3 linked regions of the Drosophila melanogaster genome follow. The protein of the gene in region 1 interacts with the protein of each later gene in a pairwise test. Each region holds a gene or a part of one and is shown in the gene's direction. Other genes may lie near its edges.

Evidence for each region.
Region 2: the proteins of CG32987 (region 1) and CG13887 interact in a two-hybrid assay, tested with the Drosophila melanogaster proteins (one large-scale study listed by BioGRID).
Region 3: the proteins of CG32987 (region 1) and mRpS26 interact in a two-hybrid assay, tested with the Drosophila melanogaster proteins (one large-scale study listed by BioGRID).

What each region holds. Positions count from the first base shown.
Region 1 is NT_033779.5:8,861,471-8,865,625, forward strand, and holds CG32987 (uncharacterized protein), read left to right. Parts: upstream 1-2,340; 5' UTR 2,341-2,384; coding exon 2,385-3,158; 3' UTR 3,159-3,377; downstream 3,378-4,155. Other genes in the region: CG32986 (uncharacterized protein), read left to right, coding at 1,337-2,209; CG32988 (uncharacterized protein), read left to right, coding at 3,434-4,155.
Region 2 is NT_037436.4:835,879-840,781, forward strand, and holds CG13887 (uncharacterized protein), read left to right. Parts: upstream 1-1,982; 5' UTR 1,983-2,242; coding exon 2,243-2,746; intron 2,747-3,224; coding exon of another isoform or gene 3,225-3,275; exon of another isoform or gene 3,276-3,371; coding exon 3,372-3,554; 3' UTR 3,555-4,053; downstream 4,054-4,903. Other genes in the region: CG42554 (uncharacterized protein), read left to right, coding at 58-675; CG13901 (uncharacterized protein), read right to left, coding at 905-1,573; JMJD5 (jumonji domain containing 5), read right to left, coding at 4,180-4,903.
Region 3 is NT_037436.4:18,104,297-18,108,349, forward strand, and holds mRpS26 (mitochondrial ribosomal protein S26), read left to right. Parts: upstream 1-2,282; 5' UTR 2,283-2,365; coding exon 2,366-2,574; intron 2,575-2,670; coding exon 2,671-3,139; 3' UTR 3,140-3,203; downstream 3,204-4,053. Other genes in the region: Polr3D (RNA polymerase III subunit D), read right to left, coding at 3,666-4,053.

The sequences.
Region 1 (4,155 bases):
CGTGTTCGCATGCAAAATCCCAAATGAAGTTAGGGCCGGGAAAAGTCGACGGGGGAAATGCCGTTAGTTTGTCCGGGGCTGTCTGAGGTGGGGTTAGGATGGTGATGTGGATTGTAATGGCCTGGTCCACTGCATACGCTCGCATGTCGTTGTTGTCAAGCACTTGCCAACGCTTTCACTTTCCTCCCGACCTCTCGTCGTTGGCCCTTTCATCGTTGTCAGCGTTGTGTGGGTGGAAAATATAAGCCGAAAATGTTATACCATGGTACATTGACCTGCCCTGAAGGGGCCATTGTAGAATAGTAAATAGTCCATATATATGTATGTGGCCCAAGGCCGAAATCTGCAAGAGAAAGATCAATAAACAAGTCGTATGAGTTATTTTAAATTAGTTGCTCTTTTTAGCTTTAAAAATGTTTTATAAATTTGCAGAGAAAATAGAATCTAATCCTAATACTGACATCCGCTACTTGATTTTCAATTTCCGAAAGGTATTCACTTTTTACCAACTCAATAATCCAATCATGAGGAGCAGGCGAGCTAACGACTTGATTGGCAACTCAAGGGTTATACTCCTTCGACTGCAAGCGTATCTATTGCATTGAGCTGCAGCTGCCAGATAACTGACATTCTCCCCGATCGCCTGCTGCCTTGGCATTTGCATGTCTTTAGCGGGGATCAAGGATAAGCGTAGCCAGCTGATTGAGATTGAGTCATAGCCGGAACAATGCCGTCCAACCGTCAACCATCAAGCATCAACCGTCTGTGAAAGTGATTGTGATCGAGGCCGCAGATGCGGCAGTAAACACATCTCGGGATCGCCTTTCTACTCCAGTGTATCCTTGTATCCTTTGCTTTGCGTGTCACTCAAGCGATCAGCAAAACAACAACAAACAATGCAGGCAGGGGAAAGGAGTAAGCATCCTTTGTGGCTGTTTTGTTAGCTTTGATCGGAGCTACTTAGCATTTTCCTTGCAGGCTTTGTAGTCCCCTTGGAATTCCGCATGCCTCGCTGAGTTTTCCGCCCTGATCGAACGGAATAATACTGCTTAGATTTATAAAATGTTAAATATTTATGCATGCCATCGCATTCGGTAAGTCACCGTAATTATCTCTTCCGCGAATCTTAATCTTAGGATAATTGTTATATATATACGGTGTATATAAATATTTCCAGTTCTTAAATCAGATTTACAGGCTATGTATTATTTTGGCTATTAGTAATTTTTAGTAGTATTAGTATTGTTTATGTTTTTAGGGATGTCTTCGTACCCAATCAGGGTGTGCCATAAATATTTTGTCAAAATTTTAAGTGGTTGCCCTCTAAGTGCTCCCAATGTTAGGAGGCAGTTTAAGAAATGACTGGGTCATCTATCCACCAGCCCTCCAGCTTCTCAACTTTCCTTTGCCACAGCAGCAAGAGCAGGCTCCTGGAACTTTGGTTCGATACGAGCATCCTTCGATACACCAGCTTCGCTTAGCACCCCGTAGATTAAGGGCACGACGTTCGGTTGTGGAAGGCGAAGGCTCCAGAGGACTGGACAACGGAAATGGCGACTCGTCGAAAATAATATTTGTGCGGCGCTGCTACATGATGGCTGGATTGTTTTCGACTACAACTGCGATCCTTGCCATAATCCTGTCCAAGGTAATTCCTCCGGAGGCAGATCTTATAATGGCAGGATTCATAAGTGCAATGGTGTCCCTAATGTTTCTCTTTGTCTTCTGTATTTTGACCAAGTTGCGGAGTTTTTATTGGTATAGTTTCATCATGGCCGGGTTGTTTGTAAGTCTGGCAGGTTTGGGCGTTATTCTGCTTCTCCTGGAGCGGAACCTTTCCCGCGTGTGCATTGCCCTTCTGGTGGCCTCCGCCATGACTGTGATATGCTATTTCGCTGGCGCATGGATACCCAAGATCATCCTCCCCGGAGAGAGGACCATGTTCCTCCTGCTCGTCATTTTCGTGATGTCCTCAATCTTTGTGATGACCATGTATATCTTCACAGACAATTGGATCTACCAGTTGGTGTACTTCACGTTATTGGCCACTTTGCTAATACCCGCATCCGTTTACCATGCTCAGGTGGTTCATTCCAGGCGATTCCAGCTGCCCGATTACGAATTCGTTATTTGCGCCGTCAACATCTATCTGCACTTTCTGTTGTTCTTTGCGGCCTTTTACTTTGTCATCTGGGCTCCCAAATGGTGAGAGTTATAGGAGTTAATTTAACGTGTCCGTGTAAAATAAAAAGAAGGCTTTAATGAGAAAAGATACCAATTTGTAAATAAAAGATATAGAAGGTGAGCAGCTTTGCCAGGAGGTAAGTGTCAGGGTGCAGGCCAGACCTAGTCTTAACACTCGGTCCATAAGGATTTTTAACGGGATGGACAACATTTACCACCAGGACAACATCCGGCCGACGATCGAGCAGCTGGACCCAATGACCCAGTTCATCCGCAGCATCTATAACATTGGCCTGATCCTTATCGGAATTACGGTGGGCGCATGGATTCTGCTCATGCTGACCCATATTCACCTGCAGAGGTACCTTCCGTTTCCCTGCTACGTCCTGGCTCTAATAATTTTTCTGGTGATGATATGCATGCATTGTATCCCGAGAATATCCTACTACTCTCCCTGTAAGTGGTTCATGACAGGTCTGGTGGTTGTGTGTACCACCTTGTTTGGCTGCCATTTCATCCACGACTTGAGCCCGCTCATTATCAGTTTCGTGATGATCGGCGTGGCCCTGATCATTATGTTACTCAACTTCTCTGGGGCCATGTGCCCGCAGGAGTTCCTGCCCGGCGGTGTTTGCTCCACGCTGCTGATGATGGCACTGCTGTTGGTCTTGACCATTGTGGGAATCGTCCAGCTCTGCACCGGGAGTGTTGAGCTGCTCGACACCTTCGTCAGCATTCTGTTCCTGATGCTGATCATAGCGATCCCCATTCAGGCGCAGTTCAACCATGGCCGTCTGAACGTCGTGGAAGTGGTTCCCGAAGAGCACCTCATGGTCTGCACCCTGACTTTATACTTGCATTCAATGATGTTCTTCTTCTGCGTGTGCTACTTCATCCTGGTCGACGAGAGAAAGGAGGCCATCAGACAAACATCTGAAGCTCCGAAAATTTCACTCGAAAATGATTTTGATTGAGAGAAATAGCTGTCACTGTGTGATCGAAACTGATTAGCGATCTGGCAAGTTACTATGGTGTTCCAGACCAAAGGATACTGTCATCCAGTCTAATTACTTAGTGCGGTGTAGCCTAGGCGGTACAGAAAATATAAATATATTCTCATTGCAAGGCAATTAGAATAAAGCCAGAGTATTATGAAAAGTCCTAGTCTCAATATAAGAGAAAATGAATCACTTACTTTGCTTTTTTCTTCAAAATTACATTATATTGACCTAAAATAATTGATTAACACATGAATAATCGCAATCGGGGTTGGGGTCGTTATGGCCTTAGAACCGGAAGACCTGGTGGCGAGCCAGTTCCTGCGGAGGGACCGGAGGTCTTAGTCATCAACGAGCGGGAGTTGCGGGCCTTCATCTTCCGGGTGTACCTATCCTCCGTAGTGCTGTGCCTGCTGTCTTCCATTTCGTGGATCATACTGTCGGCACTCGCTGTGAGGGTCTACAAGGCAATTCCAGTGCCGCCGTTCGTTTGGCTGATATTAGCTTTCATCATTCTCTCAGTGCTCGGCTGCATCGCACAGACTCCAGCATTGACCTTGTTATGCTGGGGATTGGTGCTGGGATCCTTGTTCTTTCTCACCCTGTTCGGAGCGTATTATATGCATCTAGTGCGCGTCTGGGTCCTTTTGATTGCCATTTTGGTTGCCGGATCCCTGCTGGCCCTGCTGCATTTGTATGGGGCCAAAAGTCCGGAGGTTCTGCTACCCAACATTATCTGTACTTGCTGCATTTTTCTGCTGCTCACCGTCACCATGATCGTCCTGCTAATACTCTTCCTGATCATCAATGATATGCGGTATCTCCTGGCACTTGCCATAGTGTTCGTCATCCTGATCGCATTCATGGCTCCATTTCAGGCTCGTTTCATTTGTGGAAGGCTGCAGCAGGTGCCTTATGGGGAGACTGCGGATTGCGCCAATGGCATTTACCTACACTTTATTTTTCTACTCTC
Region 2 (4,903 bases), on another chromosome or scaffold:
CCGAAGAAAACATCGAATTTACATGGTTTTAAATGGAATTACCTACCCAAATCAAAGGCTCATTTCCACGAGCGAAGGTCGGAGCGATTTATACGCAATCACCGCTATGAGGAGGCCATTAAAGCGCTGGAAACATCCCTAATCTACATGCAGGATGCCCAAAAACGGGTGGCTCTGCCCAAATCCAAGGAAGTTCTGGACACATTGACCCTCGATTTTCAGCGCAAACTGCGTCAAATTGAGATGCGAAAGACGCAGCATGGTCTGAACAAGCTGAAGGATTATGCTCCCTTGAAGGAAACCAGTCCCATGCTGCCCCTGCGACCAGAAGCCGGAGCAAGTGGAGGCGCAGGAGGATCCGCTCAGTCGGTGGCCAAGGCAATCGACAAAACAGTGCAGGACTTCGATGCCAAGTTCACCTCCTCCTTGGTGGCAAAGGCCTCTAGCACACTGGCCCATTCGGAGCCCCATATGGAGACGCTGAAGAAGAGCGATTCTGCCCAGGAGGAGCAGGAACACGATACTTGCGATCAGCGGCTGGCGGGCAGTGGAGACCTGGACCTGCCATCCTTGGCGCCCTTGGAGTTGCCCTCCTTCGATTACAGCCTGTTCACCAGCTCCTCGGCTCCTTCGTTGGCCAGCTATGCCGGCATGGCTGAGAGCTTCCAGAAATAGGCCTGGTTAAGATCCATTTGTAAAACTTCAACTAATTTGAAAGATCTCGTGGTAATGCAGTGCCCGCTGAGTGGTGATTAGGATTTAATTTTAGGCACGTTCTTCATTTCAACGTTTTGTGCAGTTCCCTTTGTGAAGTGTATTTGGGAATTCTCTAAATAAATTAAATTAGGTTAATTCACAATAATAATAATAATAATAATACTTTGTGTATTACAATCTAAGTCGTTTATTTGGCCATCAGACCCTTCAGCAGATCATCCATGTCGGTTTCGGTGTCGACATTCTTGAGCAGAAGCAGCACCTGTGCCTCCATCTCGCAGAGGATATCTGGTTTCTGGTAGGTAATGATCAGCGTGTTGAACTGGTGGTGGACAGAGAGGCTCTCCTGCGCGGGCTTGACCCCACAGCGGTCCAGTTCCGGGACCGGGATGACCTTGTAGTACTTCTTGTTCGAGGTGCGCACGACTATGGCACGCTTCTCGGGATCGGCGGTTACGCTGTATGTGTCCAGGGAGTAGGGCATGTTGCGGATGCGCCACTCAATGTTCTTCTTGGTGATCCGCTTGGTCAGCAGTGGCGCGGTGTTGCTCTCCCGCAGGGTGAAATCTCCGCCGGCCAGGGAGTCCGTTTCCTCGCCAGATCCTGGTGGCTTGTTGCCCGACCAGTTTAACTGACGCGGCTCATCGCCCAGCTCGATTTCCCACTCCGACTCGCCCATGATCTTGTTGCTCTTCGATTTCCAGGCCCGCCGCTGCACGATTCCCGTGTCCATGTTGTACTCCTCGGCCATTTGCCTGCCGTCCGGGAATTTGTAGAGCACCTTGCGGGCGCGGCCACTTATCATGGAGTTCTTCTCCGCCGCCTGCAGGTAGTTTAGCCAGTTCTGGTAGGACATCTCTGGGGATTGATGGGATTACCTAGGCACACGTCTCCGCCGGAGATTCGAATATAACAACTGAACGGGGCAGAAAATTTGATCGATGGCGCAAAGTTGAAAATTTGTTGAGAAGCACATTGCGATGGAAACCTGGCAACCCAGCTGCCAGCTTGTTTACATCGCAAGCCGGGTTACCAAGGCACTTTAAAGCATTACATACAATACCTTATGATCGATTTGTCTTGTAATATTTGGAGGTAATGGTTAATTTTAATGCAAAATACGTACTAATTCTTGCCATTTTTTTTACTTACTAATAAAATGATTTTGAAATTCGAATATTTTCCATGAATTCAGCTTTTTTCTGGCTACCCAATTTACAGTTGATTCCAGCGCGCGAGTTGGCAGCCCCGTGCGTACACAAAAAAACAGAGTTGACGTGGCCGGCGCAGTGACTACATAAAATATACGCATATTTCATCACGGCAGCGATTTAATTATTGCTATTTAAAGTAAGCAGCCAGTCACTCCGGCCGTAGTTTATAAATAGCCACTAGACCGTCCGTCCCGAATCCGTAGACTTAGCAGCTAATTTGGACGCATTTCTGCTTACAGGCGGCAGTCGAAAAAAGCGAAAATCCAAGAAGCGAAAATCGAACGAAAAAGGGAATTAATAAAACATTAAAAATGAGTTTGGTGTGGACTTTGATCGCCGGATTTCTCTATGCGGAAATCGCACTGGTCCTTCTGCTGGTGCTGCCGGTGCTCACTCCTTACCGCTGGAACCGGTTCTTCAAGTCCAAATTCCTATCGATGTTGGGACAACAGGCGCACATATATTTCCTGCTGATCATGGGAATTCTGGTCATTTTCCTCCTGGAGGCCATTCGCGAGATGCGCAAGTACTCCGGCTTGCAGCAGTCTAACGAGGTCCACTTGAACGTGGAGATGCAGCACAGCATGAAGCTGTTCCGTGCCCAGCGGAACTTCTACATCTCTGGATTCGCCATTTTCCTTGCCCTGGTCATCCGGCGACTGGTAAACTTGATCTGCACCCAGGCCAATCTCATGGCCCAGAGCGAGGCTTCCTTCAAGCAGGCACAGAGCGCCACTGCAGCCGCACGTTCCTTGCTGGAGAACAAGAACACCGAGAAGGCCAAGGAAGCCGGCGAGGATACCACTCTCATCGAGGTGAGTCCACGTCCCAAACCCCTGCATCCGATCCCCAGGAATGGCATGTCTAGAGAGCTAACACCTAAGACTTTGGAGTTCAATTGGCTACTACCAGCTGTAAAGATATGGCAATGCATATAGAAGGTGTGGTCAAAATATGGCGAGATAATGTCTTTAGCCGACTAAATCTATAAAATCTATACTTCATTCCACTTTCTGGTACATTTTCTCAATTGGTTTTGAATATAAGATACGAAAAGGCTTTAAATGTAGTCTATTAACGATATAGAACTTTAAATACCAGTATATATCATGATTAAAATCTTAAACGTAAACTTAAATCAGTTTGAAGACCGAGTGAATTTGTCATAGGCTTAGTGCTTTTGTTTTGACCGCAGCTAAACGTTTTGAAACCACACCCAAACACATATGTTGGGCCACGATAAACAGAAGCCACCACTCGAAAGTTTAAACCTCTTGTTAACTCTTTAAACAGCTGTCAAGACTGCGGAGACGTGTGCAAGGACTCACCGCCCGAGTGTCCTAAGTATCCCCACCTAGAGCACCCACCTTATATCCATTCCCAAACACCCAAAACGAACAAAAATCCAATCGAAACTCAAACGAAATCCGAATTTTGCAGCTCAACAAGCTGCGCGAGCGCGTCCAGGAGCTAACCTCCGACTTGAATCGCGAAAAGAAGGACAAGGAGGCGGTTAAGTCGCAGGCGGAGAGCATCAACCGCGAGTACGACCGACTCACCGAGGAGTACAGCAAGCTGCAGAAGAAGATAACCATCGGCGGAGGCGGAAACAAGGATGATTAAACTCACTGGAGCCAAGTCCAACATTTAAATAACGATAAGACTTATAAGCATGGCGGTGGGGCAGCGAAAGCAGGCACATTTAAAAGATTATAACGATTTCAAATCGATAGAAAGCACACACATCTTATTGTTAATCCTCATAGATACAACTACATATACCATTTGATAATGATAATGGGGTATATTGATAATGGTCCCTCAACTCAATGTTCGTTTCGTCCGAAGTTTTGTATTTAATTCGTATGTGTTAAGTTTTGTTTGCCACAGTAACACACCCAAAAAGCGTCGTGGCTATTAAAAGAACAACCAAAAAGTACCCATCCAGTTGTGATCGATTCGATGATTCATCTGTTGGCGCGGATAGTCCACATCATGTCTGATAGTACACGGCAATGACGTCAGACGTCGCAACCTGTTTGCATACTTGGAGCTTAGAAATCGGAGGCGTTACATTATCGGTGTGCGAAAAGGGCATCGAATATGTTTCCTTGATAATTACCCAGAAATGCTAATCAAATTCGCATATTTAGTGATCTATCGTGGTTTTGCAGTGCATACTTTAATCTTAACTTGAACAGAGATCATCCTACATAAATTTGCTGTTCAATAAACTGCATTAAAATGCTTACTCCCACCAGAAGCTTACAGAGAAGCTAGGAGCTTCAGATCTCACATAGTGCCACCATTTGGGTGGCATGTACAAACAGTCACCAGGTTGCAGGAGCAGCTGGTAGAACTTCACCTTGGCTACCAAGGGATATGTTTCAGGATCCAGTTGAGCAGCATCTATTCGCGCTGTATTGGCCAAAAACTCACTGTCGTGGGGATACAGATTGTCTGTGTCTGCAGGAGCAGCTAGGATGATCCTCTTCGAACCGAATACCTGGCACAGCAAGTTGTGCTTGGGATCGTAGTGCATGGGAGATACGGTTCCAGCTGGTCCCAGCCAGGCTTTGATGTCCACAGCTCCTGGGGTATCTTCGTTGCTGATGGTGCAGTAGTCGGGAATGGATATATCCTCTTTGAGGGCTGGTATCTGGGCGAAGAGCTCGTGCTGAGCGAGATACTCGATATTTTGGCCAGCCTTGCTTGGTTCCTTTCCGAATTGTCTGCTCAGGAAGTCGCGGATCTTCACCAGCTGCTGGGACCATTCATCGCTGGCATAGTTGGAACCTATTTCAATGGGCACCGTGCGATTCCCGGCCACTTGGAGAAGGTAATTGAGATCCAGCCATTTGTGCAGTGCAGGCCAATGCTGGATGGTGTTGAGCAGGAGTGTGGGTTGTCCTGCCTCAAAGCACTTTGTCTGGAACTCTTCTAGACTGGGAGCGTCCAGTTGGGGTATATCA
Region 3 (4,053 bases), on another chromosome or scaffold:
AGTCTTTATAAGTTTTTTTTTTTTTTTGAATTTCACGTTTCGCTTTTGTTTTCCTCTTAATTAAGTGCAAAGCCGCACTGCGACAGTTTGTGACAAATTTGTTGTTGTTTTTTCTCTTCAACTTGCCTTTCAACTTGCAACACGGGCAAGAAGGAGAACTGTAATTTGGTTTAATTGCCTCACAACATTTGCTAATTAGGTTTTACAGTTGGGGGGAACTCTTATCAGAATTTGCGAATGTTCTCCAAGCGCGGAAAAAGTTTGCATATTTAAGTTGAAGTCAGCGCCCATTCCCCAGATTTCCCCCTTTTAGCCAACACCTGCTGAGCTGCCGTGACTGAAAGTCATTTAAACTGTTTTACTTGCTGATGTTGTTGCTGCTGCTGGCATAATTATTTTCCTACACATTTTTGTGTTTAGATTTTCAAAGACCTCAGGTTGGAGATGGGCAAATAAATTAGCAAGCAGATTTTGCACTTGCTCAGGCGTTCAAGGCAAGACTTTTGACTTCTGCGTCGCGTGGTGCAGTGCCCCGAAGTTGCAACTCTTTTTCGGAATTTTTAATGAGCGTTGTTGATAAGCCAAACGAGGTTATGTTGGTGGGAAAATAAGTTGTGTAGCGGGAATTTACTGGCTTAAATAAGTTAAGCTCACAATTTGATAGGTAATTTCAAACTATCACAGAAGCTAACCTAAATAGTTGGGAATATTAAGTATTTATATTGAAATAAAGGGAATTAGATTAGTACATTGTCGTTATCATCCAACAACTTTGCATTCTTTCTGTATTAATCTTGTTTAAATCACGTTTTTAGATATAAAATCTTATCTTAAATGCTGGAGAATGTGAAAGTAAACAGATTGAAAAAGTTGCATAAGATAAACATTCCAACGATTAGAGAGCAGTAAACTTTTAATCGTACAGTTAAGGTACACTAATTAAATTATAAGAAAAGAAGATGTGGCATTTTAAGGCACTAAGTTTTAAAAAGGAAAGTCTACATTACCCATTTTAGTTATTTAATTAAAAGAGAACAATAGAACCCCTGTTTCGTGCAGTTCAAGCAATTGAACAAATTCGATATGCAAAATTGATCGCCTTATAAGAATTTCCAGCTACGAAGCGATCCAATTCGATTCGATTCGATTCTGTGCGTGGTAAGCGGTTGGGATACATGAGACACACATATGAGACAATATTTACAGTCCAACCAGTGCGAATTGCCATTCCAATCAGAGGTAAACAAAAATCAAAAGCCAATGTGAAAAAAAATGCCAACAAACCTGTACGAGTTGTTCGCTGCCGCTGCGCTGCTGAAGCTCTGCTCCCGCCGACGTCTGCGTCGAGAACTTCGGCTTTAAAGCTCTCAGATGGAGTTTTTGTTGTTGTTCTTGCTGCTGCTGCCTTTTTGCATGTGCAAATCGAAAGAGAGCGAGAGAGAGAGGGAGCTATGGAGCTGTGGAGCCCACCAATACTCGGGCTTTTTGGACAGGTAAGCGAAACACGTCGCAAAGAGCAGATGAATAAGAAGAAGACGCAGTAATGAATGATCGTCGCTTTAACTTTTCGCTTGCATCGGTATGCGTGTGTGCATTTCTGGGAGTTAACTTTTAACACTTTTAGCCTTGGCAAGAGATATATACAATATGCACTTTCCACACTGCTTCTAACTGACTTAGCTTTTCAATAACGCACACTATTTTTTTAAACACGAACACACACACACTTTCAAGGCGCGCCGGCTGCGCAAGCCACTTTTGTTTTAAGTTAGCCCACGTACAAGAGGCGAAACAGCGAAGTTCCGTAGCTCGGATTTTAATGCGGCCAGCGCGGCGATATATCGTCGACTGAGTGAGCAGTTACTTTTCGTACCTTCCCGTCAAGTTCACCTGGCCAAAAGCTTTTAAGCCCGAGCTGAGCGCAGCGCAATTGTGAGAAACGCACTAGTGCGTTGGAAGTTTGGCTATTTTCACAACAGATCTGTCTGGACTTCAAAGCTTGTATCTTTGGACAAATAAAAAACATTCATAACCTGCGCAATTTAATTGCAAAAACTTGTTAGCAACGCAAAATTAAGCTGTACCTAAAAATATATCTATGTAGCTGAGTATATAATTATATTTTAATATGAATATGTACGACAATAAATTTAGTAAGTTGACAACCAAATTACTATTGCCTTTCTATCTGAATTTGATTTGTTAAGATTGATTTATTCCTTGATTCTTCGATTTTCCATATTGGTCATCACTGACGGAACCAGCAATCGAACTGCGCGGAACCAGTTCACCGACAACAGAGTTGCACAACAGTTCAGCAGCGGCAAAGTAAAAATTACATTTTGTTAATTAAACTGCTTTTATAATGCTGCGAGCGGGATGCCAGCTGCTGACGCAGTCCACCCTGCCCACCGGGAAGACGGTCGGAAATAGTTTCGCCCTCGAGTTCGTCCGCTGGCGCAGGAAACCGCGATGGCTGCCGGTGGCCAAGAGCAAGATGTTCCGCGTGCCTGAACGCAAGAAGCAGTCGGAGGAGGAGCGCACGGAGCTCATGAGGCTACACAACCAGTACAAGTGCGTGCACCAGCGCCAGATTCTGTCTCTGGTCAAAGATAATTTGTAATCGGTTTCAAAAGACGTTATACAAAACAATCTACGCCTTGATTTCAGAACGCAGCTTCGCTCAGTGCGTCAGTTTCTAAGGGAGGAAGTCGTCCGCCACGAGGAAACATCCACAGCAGATCACATCGTGCTCACTCCCGAGCAGGAGGAGGCCGAGTTCCAGAAATGCCTGGATGCCAATGCTGCCTGGAACGCTGCCATAGCCAAGGAGCGTGATCAGCGATTGGCCAAGAAGCGTGAGGAAAAGGTGGCCTATATTCAGGAGCGATTGGAGGCACAACAGCTGCGCGAGGAGGAGCGCAAGGAGCAGGCCAACCAGCGGGTGCTGCTCGAGATTGAGCGTTCCAAGAACTATATCACTAGGGAAAACTTGGATGCAGCCATTGAGACAGCGTTGGCCAATCCCGTGGACCACAATTTCGCCATCGATATGGCCGGTAATCTTTACCACGGACGAAGCACCTCTCAGCTCCCGGACGCCACTCCCGAACCCAACCAGCAAGTTTTGAGTAATTAATTAATGCAGTGTCTTAGTTTGTTGTTACATTAAAATGCTTTTTATAGGTTTCTAACCAAAGTTGAAAGTCCGTGTTTTTTTTTATTTTTCTGCACAATAAACAACACACTTAAGTATATTTGATTTGCGCAAAAGAATAGGAATTGGATAACCTAGCTATTGTAAAGCGATTTGCTAGAACTAGAATACTTTTCAAATTTTAAGACCGTATTTGAAATTATAATAATCACTTAATTTGAACATATAATATATCAACAATCCATTAACCTAAAAATTAATCTTGGGTCATTGCATTAAGTATTGATGGCTTAATTTACGTTACATATCCCCAAGTTCCAAGCCCATCTTTCTTGGAGTCTCTTTTATGTTCCATATTCGAGTACAATTGTTAATAACCTTTTGAAAAGCATTTGTATTATAAAAATTTCTATATTTAACTTTTATATACGGCATTTAGAATAGGAATAACTTAAGCTTAGGCGCAGCCTATTTACTATATTACATATCTACCATGGGGAAGTGGGTGCTACGTGCCCGGTACTGGATTCGTTCGCTTGGATGCCGCATCCTGCTGCTGGAAAAGGTGCACCCAATCTGGAGTGGCCTTTAGTTTGGCTTGAATGGGTCCCAAGTTGATCATGTTTCCACTACGTTGCTCGCGATTGGCGGTTACAGACATGAGTTCCTGCAGAAAACCCGGATCGAGACCCATATCCAAGTCAAAGCGTGTGTCCCCCAATTGGAGTTTAACGCGACCGGATTTGTACCTCAGAATCTTGCCGATCTGCCCTTCTTCCAGCTGCCGTAGTACACTGCCCTTGGGTCCGTTTGAGCATTTGTCTGCAGGACTTGCTGGTTCCGATTCACTGGTGGCCTGATGATCTCCTTTAGACGGTTCCGGATCTTCGGAATCG